Stegostoma tigrinum: one gene and its partners. The protein of the gene in region 1 interacts with the protein of each later gene in a pairwise test. Links are inferred from orthologs where the notes say so. Each region holds a gene or a part of one and is shown in the gene's direction. Other genes may lie near its edges. The genes, in order: spdl1, dnaaf4 and ca8.

Region 1 (10,548 bases):
TATCTTGGATTCTCCAGCATCTGCAGTTCCCATTATGGCTGGAAAATCTCCGCAGGTTTGGCAGCATCTGTGAAGAAAAACAATCGGAGTTAGCTTTCAGGTCCGGTGACCCTCCCTCAGAATGGTTCTGAGTTCTGAGGAAGGGTCACCGGACCTGAAATGTTAACTCCGATTTTTTTTCACAGATGCTGCCAGACCTGCTGAGCTTTTCCAGCAACTTCTGTTTTTGTTCATGATTTACAGCATCCGTAGTTCTTTCAGTTTTTATCCACCTGTGTTGCCATTTTCAGGGATCTGTGGACGGATACAGATACTTCTGTATGTGAATGCTCCGAAGGGTTCTGTCATTTATTGTATAATTCGCACCTCAATTTGATCTTCCAAATGCATTACCTCACATTTGACCAGATTACACTCTGCCATTTCTCTATTCAAATCTGCAATCTATCTACATCCTGCTGCATCCTTTGACAAGCCTCCTCACTATCTGCAACTCCACCAATTTTGGTATCATCCGCAAACTTACTAATCAGACCAGCTACATTTTCGTCTAGATCGTTTTTGTACATTACAATCAACAAAGGTCCCAGCACCGATCCCTGTGGAATATCACTAGTTACTGATCTCCATTCTGAAAATCACCTTTACACCACCACTCCCTGTCGTCTATGACCAAGCCAGTTTTGTATCCGTCTAGCCACCTCATCCCGGATCCATGAGACTCCTAACTTTTGTACCAGTGTGCCATGAGGTACCTTATTAAATACCTTTCTAAAGTCCATGCAGATAATATCCACTGCCCTTACCTTGTCACCTCAAAAAACACAATGAAGTTGGTGAGACATGATCTTCCCTGCACAAACACATGCTATCAATCACTAACAGGTCCATTTGCTTCCAAATGTGAATAAATGCTGTCTTTCAATGTATTCTCCAAAAGGTTCCCCACCGCTAACATCAGATCTCTAGCCTGTAATTACCCAGATTATTTTTGTTTCCCTTCTTAAACAAAGGAATAAAATTGGCTGTTCTTCAGTCCTCTGGAACCTCGTCTGAGACCAAAGAAGATGCAAAGGTATTTGTTAAGGCCCCAGATATTTCCTCCCTTTCCTCCCACAGTAGCCTGGGATAGATGCAATTTGGCCCTGAGGATTTGTATACTTTAATGTATTTCAATACACCCGACACTTCCTCCTTCATTGTGTTAACCTAGGAGGTAATATTCACCCTTCATAATTGCTGGGCAATGATAATCTCCAACAAGAGAGAATCTAACCATCTCCCATTGACTTTCAAAGGCAATGCCCCACTATCAACATCTTGGGCATTAACATCGATCAAAAACTGAACTGAACTAGCCACAGAAAAACCATTAATACGAGAATAGGTCAAAGGCTAGGAATTCTCAAGTGAGTTATTCACCTCCTGTCTCGCCAAAGCCAGGCTGCATCTACAAAGTACAAGTCAGGATTATGAAGAAATGCTCTCCACTCACTAAAGTAGATGTTGCTCCAATAACACTCAAGGAGCTTAACACCATCTAGATCAATGCAGCACTGTGACATTGGCACCCTACTAACTACCTACAAAATTCAAACCTTCACCATCAACACACAGTGGTATCAGTGCGTATGACCTAAAACTTGCACTGCAACAACTCACCAAGCCTGTTTTGACAATACCATCCAAGCCTGCAACATCTTTCATCTGGAAGGACAATGACAGCAGATGCATGGAAACAACTCCGCCTTGAAGCTCCGTTCCAAGTCATAGATCCTTCTCGGAACTATATTAATGTTCCTTCTTTGTTACTCAGTCAAAATCCAGGAACTCCCTTCTTTGAAGGGCTGTGTACATGGGTGTAACTGCACCCCCTGGACTACAGCTGTTTAAGAAAACAGCTCACCACCACCTTCTCACAGGCTGTTGAGGATAGGCAATAAACACTGGCTTAACCTTGGAAACCCACATCCCATGAATGATGTGACCATCTGAATACCATCATGACACCATTGATGAACACAGGTGGACCAGGCAATATGACCGAGGAAGTATGACAGATCACTCGCTTTAATCTGTCATAGTTGTTTCAGAGATAACAAAGTGTGGACCTGGATGAACACAGCAAGCCAAGCAGCATCTCAGGAGCACAAAAGCTGACGTTTCGGGCCTAGACCTTTCATCAGAGAGGTGGATGGGGAGAGGGAACTGGAATAAATAGGGAGAGAGGGGGAGGCGGACCGAAGATGGAGAGATTCCCTGAGGTTGGTCCAGAGGGAGGAGGGTAACAACATTATAGTTGTTTTAGAGTTGTTTTATGCATATCTGTTTCATTTAAAAGCAAATCCTTCCATTTTCTTGATTTATACCCTGATCTTCTGATGCTCTATTATGAGCTTATATGCCAGATGAGTTTAATTTAGATCTATTTGGGATGCCTGGCAATGGCATCATGTATGTCATTGATGAGGCCATATTACCGGTTTATTTACTGTGATGTTTGACTGCCTATCATCAAATGCCTATTGATGTCTTTAAACAGTTTATAGAAGAAAGACAGTCATTCTGGGATTAAAGGCCCCAACTGACCAGAAATTCAGAGCTAAATTTATATCTTTTAAATGGAAAGACTAAAAACAGACATAAAACAGACCTAAAACAAACCTTTGAAATCCTGAATGGCATAAATGTAAATAAGTCTTTTCAGCTGATTATTCTGCTGTGATTGATACTTCTGCAAACAGCATGTACTCAAGTATCTTAATCATTTTTTAAAGTGCAAGCCAAAGAGTAATATAAGAAACAAACAGAGGGTGCTGGAGAAACTCAAGAAATTTGGCTGTATCTGTGCAGAGTGAAACGAAGTTAACATTTTGAGTCCAGCATACTCTTCTACTAAAGGTAATGTAGACACTAGAACTAAGCCTGATCCTCCCACCTGAGAAACGTAGGGATTATTGAACATCAATCATGAAAAAGAAGTCTAGTTCATTTGGCTTTATTCAGTGGTGCTGAGAACAATATCAACACCCTATTCCCACTCCTGGCTAAAATAGGTTGAGTCAGCATTAAAGTTAGGGTGTTCCTAATTCCTTTGGTAAACTTACACATTTGTGCTAATGATTTAGAACATAGAACATAGAACAGTACAGCACAGAACAGGCCCTTCAGCCCACAATGTTGTGCCGACCATTGATCCTCATGTATGCACCCTCAAATTTCTGTGACCATATACATGTCCAGCAGTCTCTTAAATGACCCCAATGACCTTGCTTCCACAACTGCTGCTGGCAACGCATTCCATGCTCTCACAACTCTCTGCGTAAAGAACCTGCCTCTGACATCCCCTCTATACTTTCCACCAACCAGCTTAAAACTATGACCCCTCGTGCTAGCCATTTCTGCCCTGGGAAATAGTCTCTGGCTATCAACTCTATCTATGCCTCTCATTATCTTGTATACCTCAATTAGGTCCCCTCTCCTCCTCCTTTTCTCCAATGAAAAGAGACCGAGCTCAGTCAACCTCTCTTCATAAGATAAACCCTCCAGTCCAGGCAGCATCCTGGTAAACCTCCTCTGAACCCTCTCCAAAGCATCCACATCTTTCCTATAATAGGGCGCCCAGAACTGGACGCAGTATTCCAAGTGCGGTCTAACCAAAGTTTTATAGAGCTGCAACAAGATCTCACGACTCTTAAACTCAATCCCCCTGTTAATGAAAGCCAAAACACCATATGCTTTCTTAACAACCTTGTCCACTTGGGTGGCCATTTTAAGGGATCTATGTATCTGCACACCAAGATCCCTCTGTTTCTCCACGCTGCCAAGAATCCTATCCTTAATCCTGTACTCAGCTTTCAAATTCGACCTTCCAAAATGCATCACCTCGCATTTATCCAGGTTGAACTCCATCTGCCACCTCTCAGCCCATCTCTGCATCCTGTCAATGTCCCGCTGCAGCCTACAACAGCCCTCTACACTGTCAACGACACCTCCGACCTTTGTGTCGTCTGCAAACTTGCTAACCCATCCTTCAATTCCCTCGTCCAAGTCATTAATAAAAATTACAAACAGTAGAGGCCCAAGGACAGAGCCCTGTGGAACTCCACTCACCACTGACTTCCAGGCAGAATATTTTCCTTCTACTACCACTCGCTGTCTTCTGTTGGCCAGCCAATTCTGTATCCAAGCAGCTAAGTTCCCCTGTATCCCATTCCTCCTGACCTTCTGAATGAGCCTACCATGGGGAACCTTATCAAATGCCTTACTGATTTCTCATTGAGCTTTATGGCATTTATTCAGGGAATTAAATATGTGCACTGGAATCCTGTTATAACAGAAATATATCAATTGTGAAGGCAATTGGTTTGTAACAGGAATGAAAGCTTTGTGTTCCTTTTTCAATCCATTACCTCCTTCTTTCTACCTTTATGTTCTTAGCTGCCTTGCTTGATGGCAGGCTTACCACTGACACACATCTTCCAGTAAGATGGCAGTGGAGTAGGGTTTCTGAGCCCAGGACTCACCTGCTTTTCATATTTTCCTCTCCTCTCATTTCTTTCCCTTTTTTTATACACTTCTTGTTGAAGAGCTCAGCCATGGTGACAATGTCAACAGCAGTGAGTGGGCCGCGTAGACGCAGCAGCGTGGACTCATGGCAGCAGCATCAGTGGCGAGTTCGGGTTCCCAGTGGCTTCAACATTGTTGAGGCATTCCTTGAGCCGACTCATGGTTGCTGTGAAGGAGGTGAGTTTGGGTTCTGAGCAGTGAATGCATCAGGCCCAGATTTGTGGAGATAGCAGAGGAAACAAGATTGGATCCATTATGACACCTGATGACATCAGCAGCTGCTGCAATGGCGAGGTTGGCCGGAAGTAGACTCATGATGCTGGCAGAGTTGAGTTTGGGTCAGTGTGGTGTCCGGTGGCATCTGCATTCACAAGATCCATTGAAGACTCATATTGGTGAGTGCTTCAGTGGAGGCAAGATGGTGCTGACAAGTGGCGAATTTCATTCTAGCAGCATCAGTGCAGCGAAGGCAACTAGTGCCTGGCCACTAATCCCGGTGCCCACGACAAAGCACTTAACAAGAAGGACTGTACATTTTGAGCACTTTTTCTTGATTTTTCTACCTTTATATTGTATGCTTTGGTTTATTTTTCTGTGTTTTAAGATGGCACCAGAGTGGCGACACTACACCATACCAGTGGTATTACAACTGAACTGTTAATCTGGAGACTCAAATAGTATTTTGAAGACCCGGGTTCAAATCCTGGCACGACAAACGGTGGAAATTGAATTCAATTTAAAAAATTTGGAATTAAGAGTCTAACAATGATTGTAAATACATTGTTGATTGTTGGAAAAACCCATCTGGATCACTAATGTCATTCAGGGAGAGAAAGTGCAATAAATGCTGCCTCACCAGCAGTGCCCATAACCCATGAATGAATAAAGGAAAATATAGAATTCTAAAGAGTTGCAGAGCTGTTGGACCTGAAGTATACAGCAAACGGTGGAAGGTTTTGAATAGTTAATAAAACATTCAGCAACTCAGCATTTAGTAACAGGTGTGTGGAGCAGAAAAGCAAGTAGATCGTGTTAAAATTATAACGGGAGTCTGTAACTATAGCGAATGTAACACTACTGTAAGTTCTGTCTGCCATGACTCCAGGTGCCCTCTAAGAAAAACGTGAAAGATTGTGTAGCACTGTTGAAAACCAGGACGGGTGTTTTCTGAAGCCTTGGTATTTATCCTTCAATCAACATGCAACGGATAAGAGATAATGGGAACTGCAGATGCTGGAGAATTCCAAGATAATAAAATGTGAGGCTGGATGAACACAGCAGGCCAAGCAGCATCTCAACGGATAATTTGGTTTGTTGTTTGTGGGAGCTTGCTGCGCGCTAATTGGCTCCTCCTTTACTTCAGGGTTATTATACTTCCGAAGAACTTTATGGGCTGCGGCAATACGATTCGGGGCATAAATCAATCAACGAACTTCACATGTACGTATTTACTCGCCTCCAGCAGGGTACCATTGCCGGCGACTGACTATAGCTACTGCTGGGTGTTGGTGACGGCGGCGGTTGGGAGCTGGTGCGCAGCGATTGGCTGGCTGTGTGGGCGCGTGCCGAGTTCAAACTGCACTGAGGGGCGGGACGTTGGAGACGGAGTGGATGCGGAGCCGGCGTGTATGCGAAGGTTAGAAGGAGAGGAGCGGCGGGCTTTAAATTGCATCGAGAAACTAACACCTTTGGAGAAGGGTAAAAATCTTTTATTTTTTTTGCGGGGGGAGGAAGGAGGAAGTGGTCAATTTGTCCGACGTTCTTCGGTCAACTTTGAACAGCCAAAGAGCAGCTCATACGGTCGCTTGATGCCGCTTCTGTCGCTTTCAGCCCACGGACAGGGCCTTTTTACCGCCACGGGGCGGGTTGCCAGGGGAACCCACAGCCGATTGGGATTCACGGCCTGTCTCCGCGCGCATCGCTATCAGCTCCGAATAACCGGGTCAGCAAATCCCTCTTTCCCACACCCCTCCAACCGTTTAAGCCTTTGCCTGTAATCAGTGCATACAAGGCATCCGTTGTACGCTCATTTTCATCTTGTTCTTTATTATATTTATACTTTGGGAGGGGAAAAAAATCTTCTTTGGAAAGAAACTAATTGCAGGTATATAATTGCAGGTATATAGTTCTTGCGATTAATGTCTCCCAGCCAGTGACAATTTTGTTTTTGTGATGGGGAAACAATAACTTGTCAATTTGCATTAGCGAGGAATGGAGGCTGACAGAAGGAGACTCGCAGGTCACCGGAAAGCTACCATTAAATTGCAGTTGAAGTGGTATCAGATTAAACTGCGTTGCGGATTATGGGATGAACTGAGACAGGAGAAAATTAAGTGCATAAACTGTCTCATCAAGATTGCTACAGACTTAGCAGACAAATATCCATCAGGTCACCAATAACATGTAATCTTATTTGCTGCCCTGCGTGTTCGATATCACGTGTCGTGTCAGCGTATCTTTTTTAGAATTGCACGATTTGCTCATTCGGTGTCCTCTACTCCGCATTTGGAAATTCGATGTGTTCAGCTAAATTGATCAAACCTGTTAAAATTGGCCTTTTCGAAAAGGCAATTTTTTTCTTTTAAAGACTTCGGATTCCTATCACCAGCCGGTGTGAGGACACTTTTGTTTTGCTATTAATATTGGCAACAGTTGCTTCCGAGATAACAAAGTGTGGAGCTGGATGAACACAGGCCAAGCAGCATCTTAGGAGCAGGAAAGCTGACATTTTGGGCCCAGACCCTTCATCAGAAAAGGGGGTTGGGGAGAGGGCTCTAAAATAGGGAGTGAGGGGGAGGTGAATCGAAGGTGGAGAAGAGACAGGCAAGTTAAAGGGGCGGGATGGAGCCTGTAGAGGGGAGAGATTACGAGAGAGTTGCACTAGGGGAGAGAGATGCTTCCGTTTCTCCTTACCTTGGAGGACAAACCTGCTTACATCCTGAGACGACCACCACCACTGACCCATCCCAAACAACAAGTGTGACATAGTTTAGTGGTGGGGTCGATTTGTCACCAAAAAATAAAAGGGCTTGGATGTGAAAATGTGATACTGTACTGAGAAATCATTAAAGTTGTAAGGAAGTTCAATAATGGAACAAATGTACTGCTTTTTATTTTCTTTATTCATTCATTCATGGGATGAGGGTATCACTGGCTAAACAGCATTTATTGCCCATCCCAAGTTGCCCAGAGGGCAGTTAAGAGCCAACTGCATTGCTGTGGGTCTGGAATCACATGTAGCCCAGACCGGGTAAGGAAAGCAGTTTCCTTCCCGCAAAGACGTTAGTGAACCAGATGGGTTTTTCCAACAATCAACAATGGATTCATGGGCGTCATAGAACAGTACAGGCCCTTTGGTCCATGATGTTGTGCTGACCTTTTACCCTAAAGCTGAGGTCTATCTAACCTCCACCACTACCTTTATACTAGCATCCATATGTCTATCTAATAGCCATTTAAATGCTGTAATGAGACTGACTCAACTAGCATCTCTGGCAATGCATTCCAAGCCCCTACCACACTGAGTAAAGAACCTATCCTGGACATCTCCCCTATATCTACCTCTGCTGGCTGCCCACTCTATCTATACCTCTGATCATTTTGTACGCCTCTATCAAGACACCTCTCCTTCGTTTTTCTAAAGAGAAAAGCCCTAGTTCATGTCCGTTTCAGGCAACATCCTGGTAAGTCTCCTGTGCACCTTTTCCAATGCTTCCACATCTTTCCTGTAATGAGGCAACCAGAACTGGACACAGTACTCCAGATATGACCGAACAGGCTTTTGTATAGCTGGAGCATAACTTCACGGCTCTTGAACTCAATCCCTCTATTAATGAAAGCTAACACACCATATGCCTTCTTAACAACTCTATTCACCTGGGTGTCAGCTTTCAGGAAACTGTGGACATGAACCCTAAGAACCCTCTGCTCCTCCACACTGCGAAGAATCTTTCCGTTAACCCTGCATTCTGCTTTCAAGTTTGTCCTTCCAAAGTGAATCACCTCACACTTTTCAGGGTTAAACTCCATCTGCCACTTCACAGCCCAGAGCTCTGCATCCTATCAATATCCCTTTGTAACCTAGAACAGCCCTCTGCACTATCCACAACTCGACCCACCTTTGTATCGTCAGTGAACATACCAATCCACCCTTTCACTCCTACATCCAAATCATTTACAAAAATCACATATAGAAGAGGACCTAGAACAGATTCTTGTGGTACACCACTTGTAACTGAGTACAATGTTGAATATTTTCCATCCACTACTATCCTTTGGATTCAGAATTGGCTGAGCCATAGAAGACAATCTGCCACGTTTCCCTGTATCCCATGCCTCCTTACTTTCTGCATGAGCCTACCATGGGGAATCTTATCAAATGCCTTACTTAAATCCATGTGTACCATATCCACTGCTCTACCTTCATTCATGTGTTTGGTCGCCTCTTTTGAAGAATTCAATAAGATTTGTGAGACATGATCTACTCCTCACAAATCAAATTGTGCTTATCCAAGTGATCATAAACCCCATGTCTCAGAGCACTTTCCAATAATTTGCCCACCACTGAAGTAAAAGATGTTAGTGAGTCATTAACCTCTTAATTCCAGATGTTTATTAGATTCACATTCTACTATCTGCCATGGCAGGATTTGAACCCAGGCCTCCAGAACATTTTCCGGAGTTTCTGGATTAATGGCCCAGCAATATTACCACTAGGCCATTGCCTCCCCATATCTTAATGCGCAAAGCCTTTGGAATAAGGCACGATTTGGAGGTGCAAATGAAGGTAAATGAATACGTTATCATAGCCATTCGGCAAACATAGTTCCAAGGAGATCCAAACTGGGAAGTTCTCAATCAGGGATATTACTTCTTTCAGAGGGATAGGAGAATGGAAAGATATTGATAAGAAATGGAATGAGGACAGTTGAGAAATGTTGTGGGTTTGGATGATGTCAAGTTTATTTGGGCAAAGGTTAAAAAGTAGTAAGGGAAAAAAGACATTGGGGTCTGCAGTCCACTCCTCCAAACGATAAGATGTCTGTGGGAAAGGCTGTAATCAACAAATAGTAGGAGCATGTTAAAAAAAAATCTCTTTTTAATCTTCACGTTGATTGGATTAATAAATTTGAAAATGATAGCTACAACAAATTCAGAGTGCATCAAAACAAGGAAATGACAGAGGAGTTTAGCAGATATTTTACATCAGTCTTTTATGGTGGAGCAAAATTAAAAAATACGGGATAGAAGTTGTGTTAGACAAAATAATGGGGCTTAAGGCAGTTATGTCCCCTAGCCCTGACAGCTTCCATCCTAGGATCCCATAAGAGGTAGCTACAGAGATAGTGGATGCATTGTTGTAATTTTCCAAAAGCTCTTGGGTCATGGAGAAGTATCAGATGATTGGATGACTGCTAATCTGACTGCAGGCAGATGGGATTTGTTTAGAATGGCATTATGGTCAGCAAAGATATGGTGGGCCAAAGGATCTGTTTCTGTACTTTTCTATGTCCTATATGCTGATTAGCCTAATATCTGTTGGGAAAGTATAGGAAACAATTTTGAAAAAGTAATAGCAGGACATTTGGAAAATTATAGTCTAATCAAAACAGAGTCAGCATTGCTTCATGAAAGAGAATCATATCTGACAATTTTATTAGAATGGTTGAAACTTCTTCAAAATAGAAGGAGGGGAATCTGAAGAAGGATCCTGACCCAAAACATCAGTTTTCCTGTTCCTCTGGTGCTGCCTAGTCTGCTGTGTTTATCAGCTCCACACATTGTTATTTCTGACTCCAGCATCTGCAGTTCTTGCTATCTCAGTGGACTTCCAAAGGATATTTGACAAGGTACTTCACCAAAGGTCAAGTCTGAAGAGACCATGGTGTTGGAGGTGGCTTGTAACCAGATTTACAGATGACACTAAAATAGGGAGAAAGACAGTTTGCAAGGAGTGCACAGAGTTAACAGAGAGATATT
Region 2 (10,305 bases), on another chromosome or scaffold:
AACCTGTCTCTGCCTCCCTAACCTGTTCTTCCTCTCACCCATCCCTTCCTCCCACCCCAAGCCGCACCTCCATCTCCTACCTACTAACCTCATCCCACCTCCTTGACCTGTCCGTCTTCCCTGGACTTACCTATCCCCCCCTACCTCCCCACCTATACTCTCCTCTCCACCTATCTTCTTTTCTCTCCATCTTCGGTCCGCCTCCCCCACTCTCCCTAGTTATTCCAGAACCCTCACCCCATCCCCCTCTCTGATGAAGGGTCTAGGCCCAAAACGTCAGCTTTTGTGCTCCTGAGATGCTGCTGGGCCTGCTGTGTTCATCCAGCCTCACATTTTATTATCTTAGAACAGAGATGGGGAAGAATTGCTTCTATCAGTTGGCAATGAGTCAATGGAATTCTTTACCACATAGGGCTGTTGAGGCTGGGTCATTCAGTTGAGATAAACAGATTTCTAATCAGAAAGGGAATCAAGGGTTACGGGGAAAAGGCAGGAAAGTAGAGTTGAAGATTATCAAATCAACCAGATGCGAATGAATAGCAGAACAAACTGATTGGGCCAAATGGCCCTGTTAAGGTCATTAACATAGTTCAGCATATACATGTGGAAATCTGCATTTATCAAGTACTTCATAAGAATGTTATTATTTCATGTACTTGTGCAGATTTAGTTCAATTCTTCATATTCCCTAGTGACAGAAGACTCAGTGAAGAGCTCTCTGTCACCCCGCCTCTCAATATGCTGTGTAATTAGCCCTCTCCTCTCCCCCATACTTTCACACACACATACACACACCCCTCTTTCCAAACCTCCACATAACCCCCCATTCAGAAGCTCCTCTTTCAAAACTCCTAGCCCCAAAAGACAGTATTTTCTAAAAAGTATTTTAAAAATTGAGAGATGCTTTTCATCAATTTTTAATCAGGTTGTTGCTGTGTCTTGAACCCTAACCACTTTCTCCTTGGATACCAGAGCAGTTATTTGGACATGAGGGTGTGCTGAGTGGATCATTGTCCCTGCATGATGGAGTGACACAGCGTGGATTTATCTCAGAGGGCCCACTCAAAAGCAACTGTTTCCCTGCAAACTCACTGCTGTCATAGCAAGAAATTCTAAGAGGAGAGCTTTAAGGATGGTTTCAAACATCTGTGAGGAGACCTTCTGAATATTGGGAGACCCAGGCTAGTGACAGAGCAAAATGGAGACATGCAGATGCAAAGCCTTGTAGACACTGCATGAATATCCAAACCATCCATTTACCCACTCCTGCAAATATCACCTGGGCACATGTGAAAGGGTCTGCAGATTGTGCACTGAAGGTATCAGAAGCAAGTCAACCTCAATCCCAATGAAGTGTCTCAGATGAAGGATGTATGGGTAGCTAATTTCTGTCCACCCGCCTATCTTGATAGGCCAGCGAATCCCTGACGGTCCCATATAGTGACTGACAAACAAATAATAATTTCGACTTTCAGTTCTTCCCATAGGCTCAACCATGGCGCTTTAAGAATACCAAGCAATAAGACTTGTGGTTCAAATCTGATACTGGGTAAGCAGAGTTAACACGCGTAATGAATTGTCAGGTATAAAACCAGAGGCCTAACCATCTTGTTGCTGTCACAAAAATAAAGATAAAACTCTGATAATTCTACTTATCACAACCTGGTCAACCTTGCAGCTTCTCTCAATCCCAACTTGACGTGAAGCTGCAACATCTTTATGTTATCACTCAATCTGACAGAGCATGACCCAGAATAGAACAGGTTATTTTGATGTTTATGAAATGTATTTGAGATTTGTTAAAAGTCTCAGGTTGACAGAATGATTAGAGTCATAGAGTCATGGACTTGTACAACAAGGAAAAAGATCCTTTGGTCTAACCTGTCCATGCTGACCAGATATCCTATACAAATCTGGTCCCACTTGCTAGCATTTGGCACGTGTCGCTCCAAACCCTTCCTATTCATGTACCCATCCAACTGCCTTTTAAATGTTGTAATTGCACCAGCCTCCATCACTTCCTCTAGCAGCTTGTTCTATACATTGTACCACCCTCTGCTTATAAAGTCGCCTCTTAGGTCTCTTTTGAACCTTGCTCCTCTCTTCTCCTCTCACCTTAGACCTATGTCCTCTAGTTGTGAACTTTTCCCCACTTCGGGGAAAAGGCCTTCACTATTCATCCTATCCATGCTCCTCATGATTTTATAAAACTCTATGAAGTCACCCCTCAGCTTCTGATGCTCCAGGAAAATTGCCCCAACCTATTCACAAATGCCCTGTAGATCAAACGCTTCAACCCTGGCAACATCCTCGTAAATCTCTTCTTAACCCTTTCATGGTTCACAACATTCTTTCTAAAGCAGAGAAAGCAGAATTGCAAGCAGTATTCCAAAAGTGGTCTAACCAATGTCTGGTACAGCTGCAACATGACCTCCCAACTCCTATACTCAATGCACTGACCAATAAAGGCAAGCATGCTAAACGTCTTCTTCGCTATTTTATCTACCTGCGACTCCACTTTCAAGGAACTTTGAACCTGCACTCCAAGGTCTCTTTGTTCAGCCACATTTCCCAGGACCTTACCATTAATTGCATAAGTCCTGCCCTGATTTGCCTTTCCAAAATGCAGCACCACACATTTATCTAAATTAAACTCCATCTGCCACTCCTTGGCCCATTGGCCGATCTGATCAAGATCCCGTTGTACTCACATGACCTTCTTTGCTGTCCACTACACCTCCAATTTAGGTGTCATCTGCAAACTTACAAACTATACATCCTATGTTCACATCCAAAGCATTGATATAAATGACAAAAGGCAGCAAACGATCCTTGTGACAAACTGCTGGTTACAGGTCTCCAGGCTGAAAAAAAACCCTCCAGCACCAACCTCTGCCTTCAACATTCGAGCCAGTTCTGCAACCAAACGGCTGGGTCTCTGTGTATTCATGTGTTATGGACCAGACCAGACCAGGCCCCCTCAAGGCATTTTAAGAAGGTAGCTTACACCTGAACTTTTTCTTATTTTAAGGGTAGATGTCAAATGCTTGTTCTAGATGTGATGCAAATGGTCAAACCACTCAAATGGTAAGCAAAACACAACTTATTTATATACTACATTTAAAAAAAAAGAAAAAGGAATTTAGAATAACTTAACTACTGGAAAACTTAATTGAATAAGATTCAATATCTATTATTAATTAACTGTTCCAATACAGTAACATGCAATAAGCACACCCCTTGGCAAAAATTCAGACACAGATTCTTATGGGCAACTCTCCAATCCAGGTGGAAACAACAGCAAGTCATTTCAGAGAATGTAACAACTAGGAATCATTTTACTGAAGCTCCAACCCTTCTGGGACCCAAACAGCTTCTGACTGCTACCGCTAAAAATCTAGAAAACCTGACCTGGGCGAACTGGCCACTCCCCTTCCATTGTTATAAAGGCCTCCTCTGATTGTTAACTTGGGCCATTTCCTGTAGCCACTTTGGCACTGCTGCCTTTACAACTTCTCTTCAAAAAAAATGTCACACATGTGATCTAACCTTGTTAACCAGTCTAAGAAAGTGTTGGAGAAGAGAGATCTGGCAGCATTTACACACAGAGAGAAACAGAGTTAACTATTTGAGTTTAACATGATTCTCCTCTGGCAGAAGGAGATCTCCTGTATCTGCAGTATTTTGCTTTTAGTAGAGTGATCACATCTATGCCCAAAAAAATCATAAAACATTTTCCTTGTGCTTTTCGAATGTTATTACAGCCTGACCGTTCCATTGAACAGTTTGTTTGGCAGGAGGGTGTGAGATATTGCATTATAGGTCTCTTTACCAACGCACTCACAAATGCTCTATATTTACTAATATCGTGTTCTCATTCATTCATAACTTTTTTACAAACTACTCAACAGCGCACTATTGTTTACTCTACCTCTTTTCATTCATTCATTCATTCATAAAACTGTGGTTTTATACTACATCTTACTATTACCAGCTGGACTAAATTAGAACATCCCTTCCAAACCATTACTGCTTCTTTACATCTTTAATCCTTATCAGCCCCATGCTACAAGCAGTGATTAGATCTGTTTCTATACCAAAGGCTATGCCTGATTAAGCGTTAATGTTGTAACCTATTCAAAATAATGCCATTCCCGCCATCATGTCTCCATGACTCACACAAAACTATGGAGAGATTATAATATTAATCAGCCCTTTAGCAGCCATCTCTGGGGACTTGAATAGGTTACAGAACATCAAAAGTTTTCTCCACTAGAATGTATCTGTTAAATACACAGTAATCAGGGCCACTATCCCCTTTAAGAAAGTTACCATCAAAACAGCGCTTCTGTGAAACTGCATGAATGAATGTGTAAGAACTTTCAAACCCACTAATAGAAAATAAAATCTCATGGCCCAGCTGCTGTACTCAGTTTATTCTCCTCTACACTTTTATTAAGTACATGTAGAATTTCTAACTTATTTTGTTTGTTTATGTCTAGTATTTTTTACTAACATTTACTACCTTAAAAGATAAAAGGACTAACACCTCTTAATTATGATGTGGAGGTGCTAGTGTTGGACTGGAGTGGACAAGGTCAAAATTTACATAACTTCAGGTTATAGTCCAACAGGTTTATTTGAAAACTAGCTTTTGGAGTCTTGCAATAACAAAGTGTGGAGCTGGATGAACACAGCAGGCCAAGCAGCATCTTAGGAGCACAAAAGCTGATGTTTCGGGCCTAAACCCTTCATTGGAAAAGGGGGAGGGGGAGAGGGGGAGGCAGATCGAAGATGGACAAGAGAGTTGCAGTGGGAGAGAGATCCCCTGAGGTTTGTCCAGAGGGAGGAGGGTAACTTGTTCAGTTACCTCTTCCAGGGATGTCTAACTTGTAGAAGTTACCCTCTTCCCTCTGGACAAACCTCAGGGGATTTCTCTCCCACTGCAACTCTCTTGCCAAAGGAGACAGCCACACATCAATGAATACCAGTCACATTAGGACATTGAGCAGTTTTTCTGCTGCCTCTTTCCATCTTCCATCCACCTCCCCCTCTCTCCCTATTTATTTCAGAACCCTCTCCCCTCCCTCTTTTCCGATGAAGGGTCTAGGCAAGAAACGTCAGCTTTTGTGCTCCTAAGATGCTGCTAGGCCTGCTGTGTTCAACCAGCTCCACACTTTGTTATTTCAGATTGTCCAGCATCTGCAGTTCCCATTATTATTTTTGGAGTCTTGGTCCTTCTTTAGGTGTCAGTGGGAGAGGTGGCATCAGCCACAGAATTTATAAGCAAAAGATCAAAGGGTCGTAGGACTGATTCGAGTGTATTGAACTAAAATGGCTGTCAAATCTTTAATCATTCAGCAAAGATTAATATGCAAATCCCAGAATTTCTTTCAAGTCACTGCCCTGAAATAACTAAAAGTTTTATGACCTCTGGTATACAGTGGATTTTCGCCCTCTTAATTATTCAAACAGACTGGACAGACACTGTAATCCTATCAGGAGTAACAGCCAGCATTTAGTAAATGTTTACCTGCTTCCCCAGGACAGATTTCATGCAAACTTCTGCGTACAATAGATATAATTATGTAACACCATAGTGCTAGAATTTTAATTTATGTATGAATTGTGTGTAAAGAGGTTATTATAACTTGGGTTTCCATCACTACCTCAAACTGTGCTACTGTGGATGCTAATTAAAGAAGCTATTTTCGCCACTCACCGATTTCGGTTGTTATTTGAACATGATCCCACAGCGGGATTAACTTCAATAGTGTTAGCATTAAACCTAGAAGGAAAAACCTGTTGAGTTTCTCCAGCACTTTATGTTTTTTTTGTTTCAAATCTCCAGTATACGCTGTGTTTGATTTAGCTACATAACTGAATATTAATTTGAATTAATTTTCATCAGCACCATATCGAATTCATCTTCGTGGCACCGTCTCCATAAAATATCTCCTTAAAAGTCTTGCACTGTAAGAAGAATCTAGAATCAGAGATTCAATGGGAGGTGGGTATCCATGGAAACCGTCACTCATTGCTTCGGAAGCGAAAGCCCGATTCAGCCGGAAGGACCAGGGAGCGGGACGCGCGTCGCTTAGCAACGGGCGGCTGTTGGTAAAGATGCCGCTGCAGGTTAGGGATTATACTTGGGACCAGGTGGAGAGCCAGGTTTTTATCACGGTGCCGCTGAAGGGAGTGAGGGCTGGGAAAGCGGACATTTTCTGTATCGAGGATTATTTAAAGGTGAGGGATTCACACGGGCGCTGTGCCCCGTGTTTGGAAAGTTGGTGTGGGCGTGGGCGGACAGGAGCTGCCTCTGGTCTCATAGATCATAGAAGCCCTACAGGGGGAAAAACATATATAGTTGTGGCCAGTCACTTGCCAAAGTGTCTCCGAGCCTCAAAAGTGAAATGATTAAACTGTTTTCGTAACATAATTTGCTGGCAATTGCGGAGGGAATCTGTGAAAAGAAATCAGAGTTAACGTCCCGGGTCGAGTGACCCTTCTTCAGAACTGGTGGTAGTTAGGAAAGGTTGACATTTATGCAGAAGATGGGGAGGGGGGAAAGAGTAAACTATAGGCGGAGATAGAGCCCAAAGAATGGGCTGCTACCACACAGCCCATTGTCAGCTCCTGCAGTTCTGAGGAAGGGTCACCGGACCCGAAGTGTTAACTCTGAAATTTTTTCTTCACAGATGCTGCCAGACCTGCTGAGCTTTTCCAGCAACTTTGGTTTTTGTTCCTAATAGCCTCATTGGCAGCTACTCATTTCCACAGACTGACCTTTAACCTCTTGAATGTGGTGCTGGGGAAACACTTAAAATTGTCCTTATCCACAAATCATCTAAAAAGATTGCTAATTTATTGAGCTATATTTAATTTTTTTATTTATACATTTTTTCTAGTTTTAGAATTGTGAACCTGCATTTGCCTCCAGATTTTGATTCTAAATTGCTTACTTTAACAGGTGAACTTTCCTCCATTTCTGTTTGAGGTAATGTTATTTGCTTCCATTGATGAATCAAAAAGCTCTGTTAAAGTTGGCAATGATGTTGTTATCTTTACCTTGTGCAAGAAAGAATTGGGAATATGGGAGCAACTTGCAACGACCGAAGGTGAGGAATGATTTTCGAGATTTTGCTTTATGTTGAATCCTACAAGATTAAAATTGATGTGAATTGCACCAGCAGAGCTGCTGCTGATAGTTATGTTAAATCTTGAAGTTAGGCATAACTAGTTTTGGCTTTGTGTCATATAATCACACTGACTTTTCTTTGATAGTTAGTAAGGAAAAGTTGCAGAAAAGGAGGGAGAAAGCAATACTTGCTGCTCAGGAAAAGGCGCAAGAAGCAGCAAAAGAAAAGGCAGTTAAAAAGCGAGAAAATGAAAAGTACTCATTGGAAAAGATGATGAAGGTAACTATTGTAGAAACTATTAAAATAGTTAATTTAGTAACAGTGTTGCCTACTTAAAATGAACAGAATAATTTGGTATAAAAGTATGAATTCAAACCATTTGCACAATAAAGCTAGAGAAGTAGTAAATATTCAAGTGCACAGTTCAAGGTGGCCAGTGTCATTGAAGTGTAGAAACATAGCGATTTCATCAAAACAAGATTTTATCACCCATATGCAAATTACCACACTTTCTGTCATACTCTCTTCCTTTTTGACAATGCTACAAATTATAAACTTAAAACTTTAAGTGAAAGATGTGACTAATGTAATCAAATAGAGTGGTGGTCATGTGAGATAATCATTCAAGTAATACGATCTCTTAATTAAAAGAATGTAAGATTATTTGCATATACACTTTTATCCTTATTAGGTCTCTCTCAGTGTTATACAAAAAGGTTGTTGTATTAATGGCTCTCGGCCTTTTGTGTCACTTTGTTTCAAATGTTAAATACTGTATCACTCCACACACACTACCCATGAATACAAACTGAGAGCAAATTACATGCTGGTGAATGGTTTGGATTATGTCGATAGTTTGCCTCCATTTTTCACACTTTAATTGTTACATCTTACATTTATAAACCCAGCAATGATGAAAACTGGGTCAATTGTAAGAAGGGTCTTATTATGGTTGGGCCAGTAGTCTAATTGCATTGTGGAGAGGGAATTCCTCAAAATTTACTCTGCAGTCACTACCTTCTGTCTTCTACCGAACCTAATTGTACACATTAACATTTCTTCTCTCTTTCACAGAACACATGCCACTCCTACACATTCTGCTGATTACATCCACTGTCTAAAGTTATAGTCATTCACTTTATATCTGAACTATGCTTGTTAGATGGTAGATCGACATTTTCTATGCTAGCAATCCATAAAGAGGCAATGTAATTTTCATTTCTAATTTTCCCACCAGCATTGCAACATATATCACTAAAAATTTTGGAAAAACTTAAAACATTCTTTAAGGTTCGTTGAGGTGCATTCTGATTCAAAGTTCGTAGATTAAACTGGAATGAAATTTTCATAAATTTGTATTGTGGACCAAACCAATCCCCCTGAAAATATATCAAGATAGTCTAGACCTAATTTTTTTCTTATTTTAAATGTAAGTATAATGTGTTGCATTCTAGATGCAATTTGATTGGTCAAACTACTCAACTTTAAGCAAAACAACCTTTTTGTTTTTACACTATAATTCAGACACAAACAAAATTAACACAAAAGAAAAGTATTAGTTTATTTGTATCTCTTTGGAAAGGGTTAACAAAATAATAGATACATTGTTTCGAAGTAAAACCCTCTAAAAACTAAAGCCAAAACACCGAAAGAGGAGCACCTGACTCTATAATCTGTAAAAGCAGTGTGAAAAGTCATGTAACCTGCCCTTCAGCAGCTTCTACAGGTTAATTAAAATAAATCCCAGACTTTCACTTTACCGTCAACAAGTAACAATTTACTTCTCTAAGTTCTAACAATCAACAAATTAACTAAACTATTAACAAACTGAATAAACCTCTAACCACCAACTATTCCCGAATAAAGCAAGATTCTAAAGATATGCTGTTCCAATAATTATAGGACCCAGTTATATAAAAAAAAATCAGTCTCTCAAACTTTCAACCAGGTGGTATGTCTTCTGGAATGTTCTGAGCCTTCTCTGTCAATTCTTCTGTCAAGAGTGCCTTTTCCATTGATTCTTCTGTCAGGACATTGTGCAATAGGTAACTTCGTTATCTAGATGATGCTTTCTCTAAGACATAGAAGAGGTTGTGAGAGCCAACAATTGTCTCTTGAGAGCTGAGTGCTGCCAGCTCTGGTAGATGGCAGTTAACACTGAGATTTTGCCCAATTTCCCCCTTCTTTTATACCCTTGATGAGATATCAATATTTCTTACAATGTGATTGGCCCTAGGTTGTCAAAAGCATCAGATTTACATTTAAAGATAATGGGAACTGCAGATGCTGGAGAATTCCAAGATAACAAAATGTGAGGCTGGATGAACACAGCAGGCCAAGCAGCATCTCAGGAGCACAAAAGCTGACGTTTCGGGCCTAGACCCTTCATCAGAGAGGGGGATGGGGAGAGGGAACTGGAATAAATAGGGAGAGAGGGGGAGGCGGACCGAAGATGGAGAGAAAAGAAGATAGGTGGAGAGGAGAGTATAGGTGGGGAGGTAGGGAGGGGTTAGGTCAGTCCAGGGTAGATGGACAGGTCAAGGAGGTGGGATGAGGTTAGTAGGTAGATGGGGGTGCGGCTTGGGGTGGGAGGAAGGGATGGGTGAGAGGAAGAACAGGTTAGGGAGGCAGAGACAGGTTGGACTGGTTTTGGGATGCAGTGGGTGGGGGGGAAGAGCTGAGCTGGTTGTGTGGTGCAGTGGGGGGAGGGGACAAACTGGGCTGGTTTTGGGATGCGGTAGGGGAAGGGGAGATTTTGAAACTGGTGAAGTCTACATTGATACCATATGGCTGCAGGGTTCCCAAGCGGAATATGAGTTGCTGTTCCTGCAACCTTCGGGTGGCATCATTGTGGCACTGCAGGAGGCCCATGATGGACATGTCATCAAGAGAATGGGAGGGGGAGTGGAAATGGTTTGTGACTGGGAGGTGCAGTTGTTTGTTGCAAACTGAGCGGAGGTGTTCTGCAAAGCGGTCCCCAAGCCTCCGCTTGGTTTCCCCAATGTAGAGGAAGCTGCACCGGGTACAGTGGATGCAGTATACCACATTGGCAGATGTGCAGGTGAACCTCTGCTTAATGTGGAATGTCATCTTGGGGCCTGGGATAGGGGTGAGGGAGGAGGTGTGGGGGCAAGTGTAGCATTTCCTGCGGTTGCAGGGGAAGGTG
Region 3 (9,793 bases), on another chromosome or scaffold:
TTTCCATGCTAAGATGTACACACACTTGGGAGAACCAACAAAGGATTTCATCCAAGTTCTAATTGCTCCTTCTTCATCTCCGCTATTTTTGGTATGTCATGTAGATAAATGGTGACCTGAGGTAGACCGTTCTCCATCATCCGCTGAAAAATTGCACAGGCTGATGATACCCCAAATGGCAGTGTTGTATATTGATACAAAGCCTTATGGGTGTTAATTGTAGCACATTTCTGGGAATCCTCATCTAATCCGCAATTGCAAGTATGTGTGGCTCATGTTCAGCTTCGGGAAGGACAGCCTGCCCTGCCAACTTTTTGTACAAATCTTGTGTGAAGGATCAGGTATTTCTCCAGCTGTGAAAATGGCTTTGCTGTTTGTTTAAACTCCCCACAATGGTGAACGAGAGCATCAGGCTCCACAATCAGTATGACTGGTGCTGTCCATTCCACAAACTGGACAGGTTTGCTGATTCCTTCACTTTCCAGCTTCCTGATTTCTGCTTCTTCTTTTGCCTGTAAGGCAAATGACACGAGGTGGACCTAGTAGAACTCTGGGATTGCTTCCTGGTCAACAAGGTGACTTTGGCTGTTTGATAGTCCCTAGACCATCCAGAAAGATGCTGAGTATTTAATTAGGACTTCACTCAAGCAGCTATTTTCTAATCGAAAAGCGTTGAGCCAACTTAAGTGATTCTGCCTCAAATAATTTTTCCCCATCAAGCTTGGGCCCAAGCCTTTTACTGTAATCAGTGATACCTGAACCAGCTGCTTCTGATAAGAGACCAGAACGGAGGTTGTGCCCTTAATCTGCAACTGGTCCTCGGAGTGGCTTTTGTTAAAAACTGGCTCTGCAATCACTGATACAGCCATGCCAGTATCGATCTCCATTAGAACTGGATGATGTTTATTTTCATTGGCTGTAATTTGGATGCTGCTAAGCAATTTAACTGATTCAAAGCAGATGTAGGTGGTCTTTCCAGGGTGTGTTCTCTCCTGGTTACCAGCCCATGAGTTCTCTTACTCATTTCAGGCCTGGTGGCACTCTTTTGCTGGCTTGAGTCCATACACCAGCAGCAGTTACAATGGGTTGCCAGCCCAAATCCTGAAGAAAATTTTACCCGTTTGGCCAAGGCTTGGCTTTGGTTTGGGGTTTTGCTGTGGGCTGACTGAGGGTCCCTCTGTTCAGAATATGCCCTAGAATATAGAACATAGAACATTACAGCACAGTACAGGCCCTTTGGCCCTCGATGTTGTGCCGACCTGTCATACCAATCTCAAGCCCATCTAACCTAAACTATTCCATGTACGTCCATATGCTTATCCAATGACGACTTAAATGTACCTAAAGTTGGCGAATCTACTACCGTTGCAGGCAAAGCGTTCCATTCCCTTACTACTCTCTGAGTAAAGAAACTACCTCTGACATCTGTCCTATAGCTTTCACCCCTCAATTTAAAGCTATGCCCCCTCGTGCTCGCCGTCACCATCCTAGGAAAATGGCTCTCCCTATCCACCCTAACTAACCCTCTGATTATTTTATATGTCTCAATTAAGTCACCTCTCAACCTTCTTCTGTCTAATGAAAACGGCCTCAAGTCCCTCAGCCTTTCCTCATAAGACCTTCCCTCCATTAGAGGCAACATCCTAGTAAATCTCCTCTGCACCCTTTCCAAAGCTTCCACATCCAGCTTATAATGCGGTGACCAGAACTGTACACAATACTCCAAGTGCGGCTGCACCAGAGTTTTGTACAGCTTCACCATAACCTCTTGGTTTCGGAACTCGATCCCTCTATTAATAAAAGCTAAAACACTGTATGCCTTCTTAACAGCCCTGTCAACCTGGGTGGCAACTTTCAAGGATCTGTGTACATGGACACCGAGATCTCTCTGCTCATCTACACTACTAAGAATCTTACCATTAGCCCTGTACTTTGCCTTCTGGTTACTCCTACCAAAGTGCATCACCTCACACTTGTCTGCATCAAACTCCATTTGCCACCTCTCAGCCCAGCTCTGCAGCTTATCTATGTCTCTCTGCAACCTACAGCATCCTTCGTCACTATCCACAACTCCACCGACCTTAGTGTCGTCTGCAAATTCACTAACCCATCCTTCTACGCGCTCATCCAGGTCATTTACAAAAATGACAAACAGCAGTGGACCCAACACTGACCCTTGCGGTACACCAATAGTAACTAGTCTCCAGGATGAACATTTCCCATCAACTACCACCCTCTGTCTTCTTTCAGCAAGCCAATTTCTGTTCCAAACTGCTATATCTCCCACAATTCCATTCCTCCGCATTTTGTACAATAGCCTACTGTGGGGAACCTTATTGAACGCCTTGCTGAAATCCATATACTCCACATCAACCTGTTTACTCTCATCTACCTGTTTGGTCACCTTCTCAAAGAACTCAATAAGGTTTGTGAGGCATGACCTTCCCTTCACAAAACCGTGCTGACTATCCCTAATCAATTTATTCTTTTATTCTTCCCTGAGTGAGGCTATGCAATTGCCTTCAGCCAAGTGGTGTTCCCTGAGCTCAGTCAGCCTGGTGGGGGTGTCCACTTCCATTGGAATACCCTGCAACTCATTGCTCCACTTGTTGCATTTTCCAATGATAAAGCCAGTTATGGCGCCTGTTTGAAGTCCAGTTCAGCTTCAGCTACTAGGCTCTTTTGTATGTTTCATCATTAATGTCACATACCAAATGAACAGTTTCTCAGCATCTTAAGGGCTAAACCAAAGTCACATACTTCTGCAAGGCATCCTAACCTAGTAAGAAATCCCAGTACAGATTCCCCTGACTCTCAAACTGCAGAGTAAAACCAATAGCAACACAGAATTAGTGGAGGTTTGGGGCAGTAATATTCCTTAACTAATTCTGTCAACTCTTGAACGATTTTAATATTTGATGCCTGAGGGAAACTCAGGCTCCTAATCACTAAAAGAGCTGCTGGTCCACAAGCTATTGGGAAAATTCCCTGTGGCATTTCATTTGCCCCAATGTCGTTTGCCTGGAACAAACAATGCACTATTTCCACATATTGGGCCTAGTCTTTAATGGCAGGATCGAACAAGCCAATCTTTCCAAATAACAGCATGATGCCAGAAATGCTTACCCCAACTCAAAGATGACTGTTGTGGATGAATTTCTTCAGGAAGGTGCTTCTCTTTTGTCGTCACTGAAATAACCCCACAGAGGCCAGTATCCTGTCACTTGGAAAGTCCTTGACACTGATCCAGCTCCCTCAGAGCCAGATCTCAGAAATGAGCAGAACCTCTGTCACTCCTGTTTATATCCTTCAGTCAGGGCTCCCTGATTGGGCAAGATTAACAGCCCAAATCAGGGAACTCCTATTCTATGATGTCCAACTGGTTGATCCCATTACAATCACTACAATTATCCCTCATGTTTTGTTGACAGCTAGAATGTTAAGGATGTGTGAAAAGACAGGTTCACCTGCAGATCCAATTACGACACACCACATTCAATATTAACTTACTTATCGCAATAAAAAGTAAAAATATTAAAATACCTATTGCTTTGTTGCCTGCAGCCTTTCTGCACACTGCTAACAGACTCCAGGGCTGAACTTTCACTGTCACATGGGGACCAGCATGAAGGTGGGAGGGAGTAACCAGTAGCTTGAAGACAGCTCATTGCTTGGGGATAGAATTCCAGCAACAAACGACGTCAATGCTCCATGTCTTTTTTGAGGCCTACTTCCAACGGTTTTGCTCTCGGTGCTGTGGTCACAGACTGCCCTCTGACAGGGTTCTCCCTTCACTATGGTGACCAGGCAACTGTGATAATTTTATTTTAGAAGTTATGAAAGTTGCTGAGAGAGTACCACAACATGTATGGAGCCACTCTTTCTCTCTCTTATCTGAGATGCAAGACTGAAGATCTTTCCCTGTTGGCCCTCCAGCTTCACATTAGCTTCTCTGGGCAAAACATGGCAAATCACTGCAAGATCATTGTCCTGATCAGGACCCTCTTTTAACTTTGATGTCAATGTCTCAATCCTTGAAAAATCCTGCCCAGAAATCTATCAGGGCAGCTACATCTCACATTCCACCATAAACTGCCAAATGTCAGGTCAGCCATCCAGTCTCAGGAGAATCCCCAGTTACCCTGTCACAGTAATCTAAAACTAAAGGAGTCATGGTGTAAAACAACTCCAGGAGAATCACTGCAGAATTATCAAACTTCTGTTTATCCCAAGCAATTTTGCTAAACCCAGGGGCACTCCTTAATGTATCGGAAGCTCATGTTAATCTAGCAGATTGCTGTTAAGTGCCACTTTGTACCATTCTCCAGGCCAGTATAAATAATCATCTCGTACTTTTTTGAAAGCTTGATAGAACCTCTCTTCAACACACTTCCAGGTAGTGGGACAACGTAGAGTTATTGGGTATTTTATAGCATAAAAAGAGGCTCTTTGGCCCATCAGATCCATGACAGTCACAAAGCACCTATCACTCTTGACCCTTTATCTTCTATCTCTACATGGTATTCTTAACATGCCATCTTTTTGTGCATTCTCAGCTTTCAAATGACAAGAAAAAAGGCACAGAGCTGAAAGAGCACAGTCAGATAAAGGCAACTCATTTCGGTTTTTACAGATTAATAGAATGAATAATAGAATCAAAGCCAATGGTTAAAACTGTAGACAAAAATAAAGAGCTGTGGGTGCTGGAAATCAGAAACAAAACATAGTACAGGTTGAGGTAGAGACAGGAATCATCACAACATTTAAGAAGCTTTTAGATGATCACTTGGAGCACCTTTGCAGAAAAGGTAACGGGCCAAGTGCGAGATAAAGGGATGAGAGCTGATAGGTGCTTTGTGACTGTCATGGACATGATGGGCTGAAGAGTCTCCTTCCATGCTATATAGAAGTATGTTAGAGAAAAGTTCAACAAAGGCATTCAAAAGAGTATTAGATGATTATTTAAATGAAAATGACATGCAGTATTAAGGGGAAAGGTCAAGGAGAATAGCTTACGTTTATGATATTCATTTGGAGACAGACATGAAGTCTTCAGTGGCCTTCAGTATCATAACAGTACTGTGATTCCTTCTGTTAAAGTCATCAATCTTGGTGCAGCACAGTGACTCAGTGGATAGCACTGCTGATTCACAACGCCAGGGACCCAGGTTCAGTTCTCAGCTTTGGGTGACTATTTATGTGGAGTTAGCACATTCTTCTCGCGTCTGTGCGGGTTCCCTCCAGGTGCTCCGGTTTCCTCTCCCACTTAGGTGAATTGGCCATGCTAAATTGTGCAGGCTAAATGGAGTCGCCATGAAAAATGCAGGATTGGGGCTTGCAGGGAACGTGTCTGGACGCGAGGGTTAATGCAGTCTCGATGGGCTGAATAGCCTACTTCTGCACTGTCGGGGTTCCATAAAAATTCTGATTAACATGAGCAATTGCACAGAAGGTTATATGCGCGCGTGTGTGTGTGTGTGTGGCGGAGACAGGGAGCGTGATGAAGCACTCGATGTTTAAATGTGCAGATGCAAGTATTATATGTATGGCACCTTCCAGGACCTCAACCAGATTCCACATCCCTCACCTCATGATACCTCAGTTTCCCCAGAAATACGGAAATCAATGAACTTGGGGCATGTTTTGCGCTAGGACCAGAAGAGCCAAGTTGAGTTAAATAATTCACATTGCATTTATATTCTATACTGTGTGGGTAAACAAGACAAATTCAATACATTGCATATTGTTGTGGCACATGTGCACTGTGTGTGAGCTCTTTCGACTTCAGTTGTTGGAAGCAGCGATTCTAGAGTGGAACCACCCACTGACGTGGATCATGTAGTTTAGTCAAAATCAGAAAGACATGAGCTTGTTTGGTGCCGCGAGTTTGAGAGGTGAAGATGCTTTGTAAATTCACCGCAAGATTCAGAGAGTAACAGCAGGGGCAGGATTACCATTCAGGACAGATTTACAGTTTTACTGAGTATTGTTTGACAGTTAATGGGAAGGTCCCGGTAAGTGCGTTGCAAATATTTTGGTTTTAAAAACAAGAAACTTTGAAAAGCATTGGGAGGTGTAGTCTCCGGTGTAATAGTGTTGCTGTTCAGACTTCCTGCTGTGGGCCTCAGCTAACGCTTTGTAACGGGGGAGAAGTTTTCAGAAAATACCAGAGAAGAGGTTTTAATCTGTATGGTTTTTCATTTGTAATTGAGATGTAAAGCCATAAAGGATGATTATTCAGTGACATTTCTCCCTTAATAAATATCATTCTGGGTTTTAAAAATAACTGGGATTTATACTTTAGGGAGAATGATACAAGTTTCTAGTTACATTTTATTTTACAAAATTCATCGCACAATTCATTAGAGATATTCATTCGCAAAATTCATTAGAGATATTCCCTTGCAAATGGGGCGATAAAGTTACTCCTGCAGTCTGAATCTGCCGTGTTAAATAGGTCAGTTTGATCAACGACCAGAATTCAGGTTTTTTTTATCGTTTCCAACTGCCCTGTTAATCTGTTCAGTGACACTGTCCCCGAAACGCTAACATCGTCCAAAAGACTATCCAAGAATAAACTTAATAAAACCCTAGGCAGAGATATTAGGACACGGGTGGGACCTGCTGGCTTGGGTGGGGGGACAAACGGACCCGAAACGTTACCTCTGATTTCTCTTCACAGGTGCTGCCAGACCTGCTGAGCTTTTCCAGCAACGTCTGTTTTTGCTCCAGGTTCAGAGGTAGGGACATTGCCACTTCGCTGGAAGAGCCCTAAATTGACCCCACTCTGTAAATTGGAAGAGGTAATCCGCTGGACAGGTTAGTGTGATTGGACAGATCCTCCTGCTTTCACTGAAACCTGGGGAGTAAATGACAGCTCGCCCTTTCTCACTGGTGTCGGGGAGCCGTGGTTTTAGTATGTAAACTTACACTGTATGTTAAGTTACACAGTACAGAAGCCATTTGTGGACTTGTATCAGTGTATTTAGCTTCACGTATTGTTAGGATAGAAACTGGGAGCGTGACATTTCTGCTTTTCCAAGGTGACAGATAATGAGCGGCACTATTTGTTTGGCAACTGGTCAGATTGCTGTTTCCAATGAATTAGTGATTTGTGTAATTGTGTTTTAAAGGCTAGATTGCTCGGTAGTTTATATAACCATCATGTTTTGGCCAGGGTACAGCTCGGAGCAGCCTGCATAGTGCAGCTGGGATTGTTCATTCGAGTAGCTGCCTTTTCAATGGCCGACAGCCCCTTCATTGAGGAAACCCGGCCTTACGGCTATAAGGAGGGTCTGGAATGGGGATATGAGGAAGGTGAGATCCTGAACAACTTTGTTTTAAAGTGTGCAAATGGAAACGCGATATTTTTGCCACCATTGGCACGCATTTCCTTCATTAAAGAAGCCATATAGCCGTTCTGAGGAAGGGTCACCGGACCCGAAACGTTAACTCTGTTTTCTCTTTCACAGATGCTGCCAGACCTGATGAACTTTTCCAGCAACTTTGTTTTTTTTGCATATAAAATTAAACTTTGCATTTTAAAACTTTGTTTGTTTCCATGGTGAGGGATCTAACACAAACAGATATGCCTTGATACCTAGAAGTAATTCTCTTTTGGCAGTCAGCCAATTTGCGAACTTATTTTGCAAAGTTTGGCTTATTCAGACCATTTTAAGTCACCCCAGTCCAAAACAGAGATGCTTAACTGATATTTGATAATATGCTAACTTGTAAGCTGTCAAACTCATATTCTCAGTGTTAAAATTAACTTTCAACTTTAGTTTAGGAAAAACTTCTATTTGGCGTTTGAATCTAGCTTTAGTTTTGCCATTTTTAAAATCCTTTTAAAAGTATGAATTCAGGTATATATATGTTGGTCACTTGATCAATGTGATTTGCTCTGTTTCAGGAGTGGAATGGGGCCTGTTGTTTCCTGAAGCAAATGGAGAGTATCAGTCCCCGATAAACCTGAACTCCAGGGAGGCAAAGTATGACCCTTCACTATTGGAAGTACGTTTATCACCAAATTATGTTGTTTGTCGAGATTCTGAAGTAATTAATGATGGTCACACTATTCAGATACTGCTGAAGTCCAAATCAGGTATGTAAAAATATGAACCAAGTTTGGGTTGTGCAACAGATTGTGAAATGTTTATTTTTGACTTTGTGTGTCTCCTTCAATGCATCATTTTGATCTTCTTCCCATAAGGTGTGAAAGGAAAGCTGCCTATGTTGATGGGTTTAATCTATTCTGTTTTGTTGTGCTATCATTCAGCAGATTCCTCAGCAAATTAATGTTGTGTAAAACACAGCATAAACAGGACTGTATTAAAAACTGAAAGAACCACTGATGCTTAAATCAGAAACAAAAACAGAAGTTGCTGGAAAAGCTTAACAGGTCTGGCAGCATCTGAGGAGAGAAATCTGAATTAATTTCAGGTCCGGTGACCCTTCCTCTGATTTCTCTCCACAAATCTGCTGAGCTTTTCCAATGATTTCTCTTTTTGTTTCTGATTTACAGCATCAGCAGTTCTTTCAGTATTTTGTGTTTAGAGGACGTTCTTTTTTTTTAATCCCATTCAGTGGCATTTCACTCACTTGGATGAAACAGTATGTTTAATTTAGTATGTTTTTCCAAAGAGAGTGATTGGATTTATATCTGCATCCAGTTTTCACACCAGAATTGATCGTCATTGGTTTAAATTTTACCCAATGCTGTCCCACTGGAAGATGACACCGACTAAACACAATATAGAAAATTTCCTATTATCAAACGAATATTAACTTTCAGAAGTGATTTTGATTGTGAAATGGTCATGAACTCTTTCAAGATTCAGGCTTGTATTGAGCATTTTGTGGCTTGTAAGTATATATTGAACTCCACAACACAGAAAAACATGCTTGATAAATTGTAAGCTCCTGAGTGGAAATTAAAAATAAGTCTATGATCTTTGGATGTTGAAGTAGGAGCAGGAGTCGGTCAGTTGGCTCTTCAAACCCACTCCATCATTCAAGAAATCATGACTGATCATCTAACTCCATTCCCTGTCCCTGCTTTTCCCTCACACCATTTGATTCCTCTAGCCTTAAGAACTATTTCTAATTTGTCGCCCATGAAAACATTTCAATGTTTTGGGTTCAGCTCGTTTCTGTGGCAGAGAGTTCCACTGGTTCACTGCTGTCTAGGTGAAGACATTTCTCATAAAGACAATAATGGTTCAGATGCTTACGAAAGTCCTGTTCATTGACTTTGTTATGTCTTCAATATAAACACTTCAGAATTAATTGTGGTAGTTTTACAAACTAGCTGCAAGGCAGGCACCTCATTCACTTGGAGCACAGATCAGAGACCAGTACACTTACACCATGAAGAACAGAAATAGGTTATTTGGCCCCTTGATCCCACTCCCCTATTCAGTGGGATCATGGCCGATCCAAGATGCCTCATGTCCCCATCTAGTTCTGTGTCTTTGGAGAATAGGAAATTGTACATAAATGAGGTGAGATTAGGTACTATTGAGATATATATTTAGGCAAATGGGTCTCCCGCTGCTCACTAGTGAGATTCAAACGTGTGGAAAATTAGACTTCTTTCCATGATGTTGAAAATTATCGTTTGCAGAACTTTTTGTATTTGCCCAAATGACTTACCATTGCTCACATCGTTCAGGGGCTGTGAAAATTCAATCTGAGGAAACCATGATGACTCCCAAAGCCAAACCTCATCCCCAACTTGGTTTTGGGTCCACAGACTAATCTGTCCAATCTCCTTTTGAATGTTTGCAGTAAA

What was found.
Region 2: the proteins of spdl1 (region 1) and dnaaf4 interact in binary tests that used the Homo sapiens proteins (3 or more experiments, as listed by UniProt). The two-hybrid records come from large-scale screens. The link is inferred for Stegostoma tigrinum from reciprocal best matches to the Homo sapiens genes SPDL1 and DNAAF4.
Region 3: the proteins of spdl1 (region 1) and ca8 interact in binary tests that used the Homo sapiens proteins (3 or more experiments, as listed by UniProt). The two-hybrid records come from large-scale screens. The link is inferred for Stegostoma tigrinum from reciprocal best matches to the Homo sapiens genes SPDL1 and CA8.

The regions. Positions count from the first base shown.
Region 1 is NC_081364.1:15,282,222-15,292,769, forward strand, and holds the start of spdl1 (protein Spindly), read left to right. Parts: upstream 1-6,154; 5' UTR 6,155-6,267; intron 6,268-10,548. UniProt on the Homo sapiens protein: Required for the localization of dynein and dynactin to the mitotic kintochore.
Region 2 is NC_081386.1:15,451,526-15,461,830, reverse strand, and holds the start of dnaaf4 (dynein assembly factor 4, axonemal), read left to right. Parts: upstream 1-6,088; 5' UTR 6,089-6,123; coding exon 6,124-6,246; intron 6,247-6,970; coding exon 6,971-7,118; intron 7,119-7,284; coding exon 7,285-7,418; intron 7,419-10,305.
Region 3 is NC_081358.1:35,205,290-35,215,082, forward strand, and holds the start of ca8 (carbonic anhydrase-related protein), read left to right. Parts: upstream 1-5,811; 5' UTR 5,812-6,014; intron 6,015-6,682; 5' UTR 6,683-6,819; intron 6,820-6,894; exon of another isoform or gene 6,895-6,916; intron 6,917-7,177; 5' UTR 7,178-7,241; coding exon 7,242-7,317; intron 7,318-7,912; coding exon 7,913-8,104; intron 8,105-9,793. UniProt on the Homo sapiens protein: Does not have a carbonic anhydrase catalytic activity.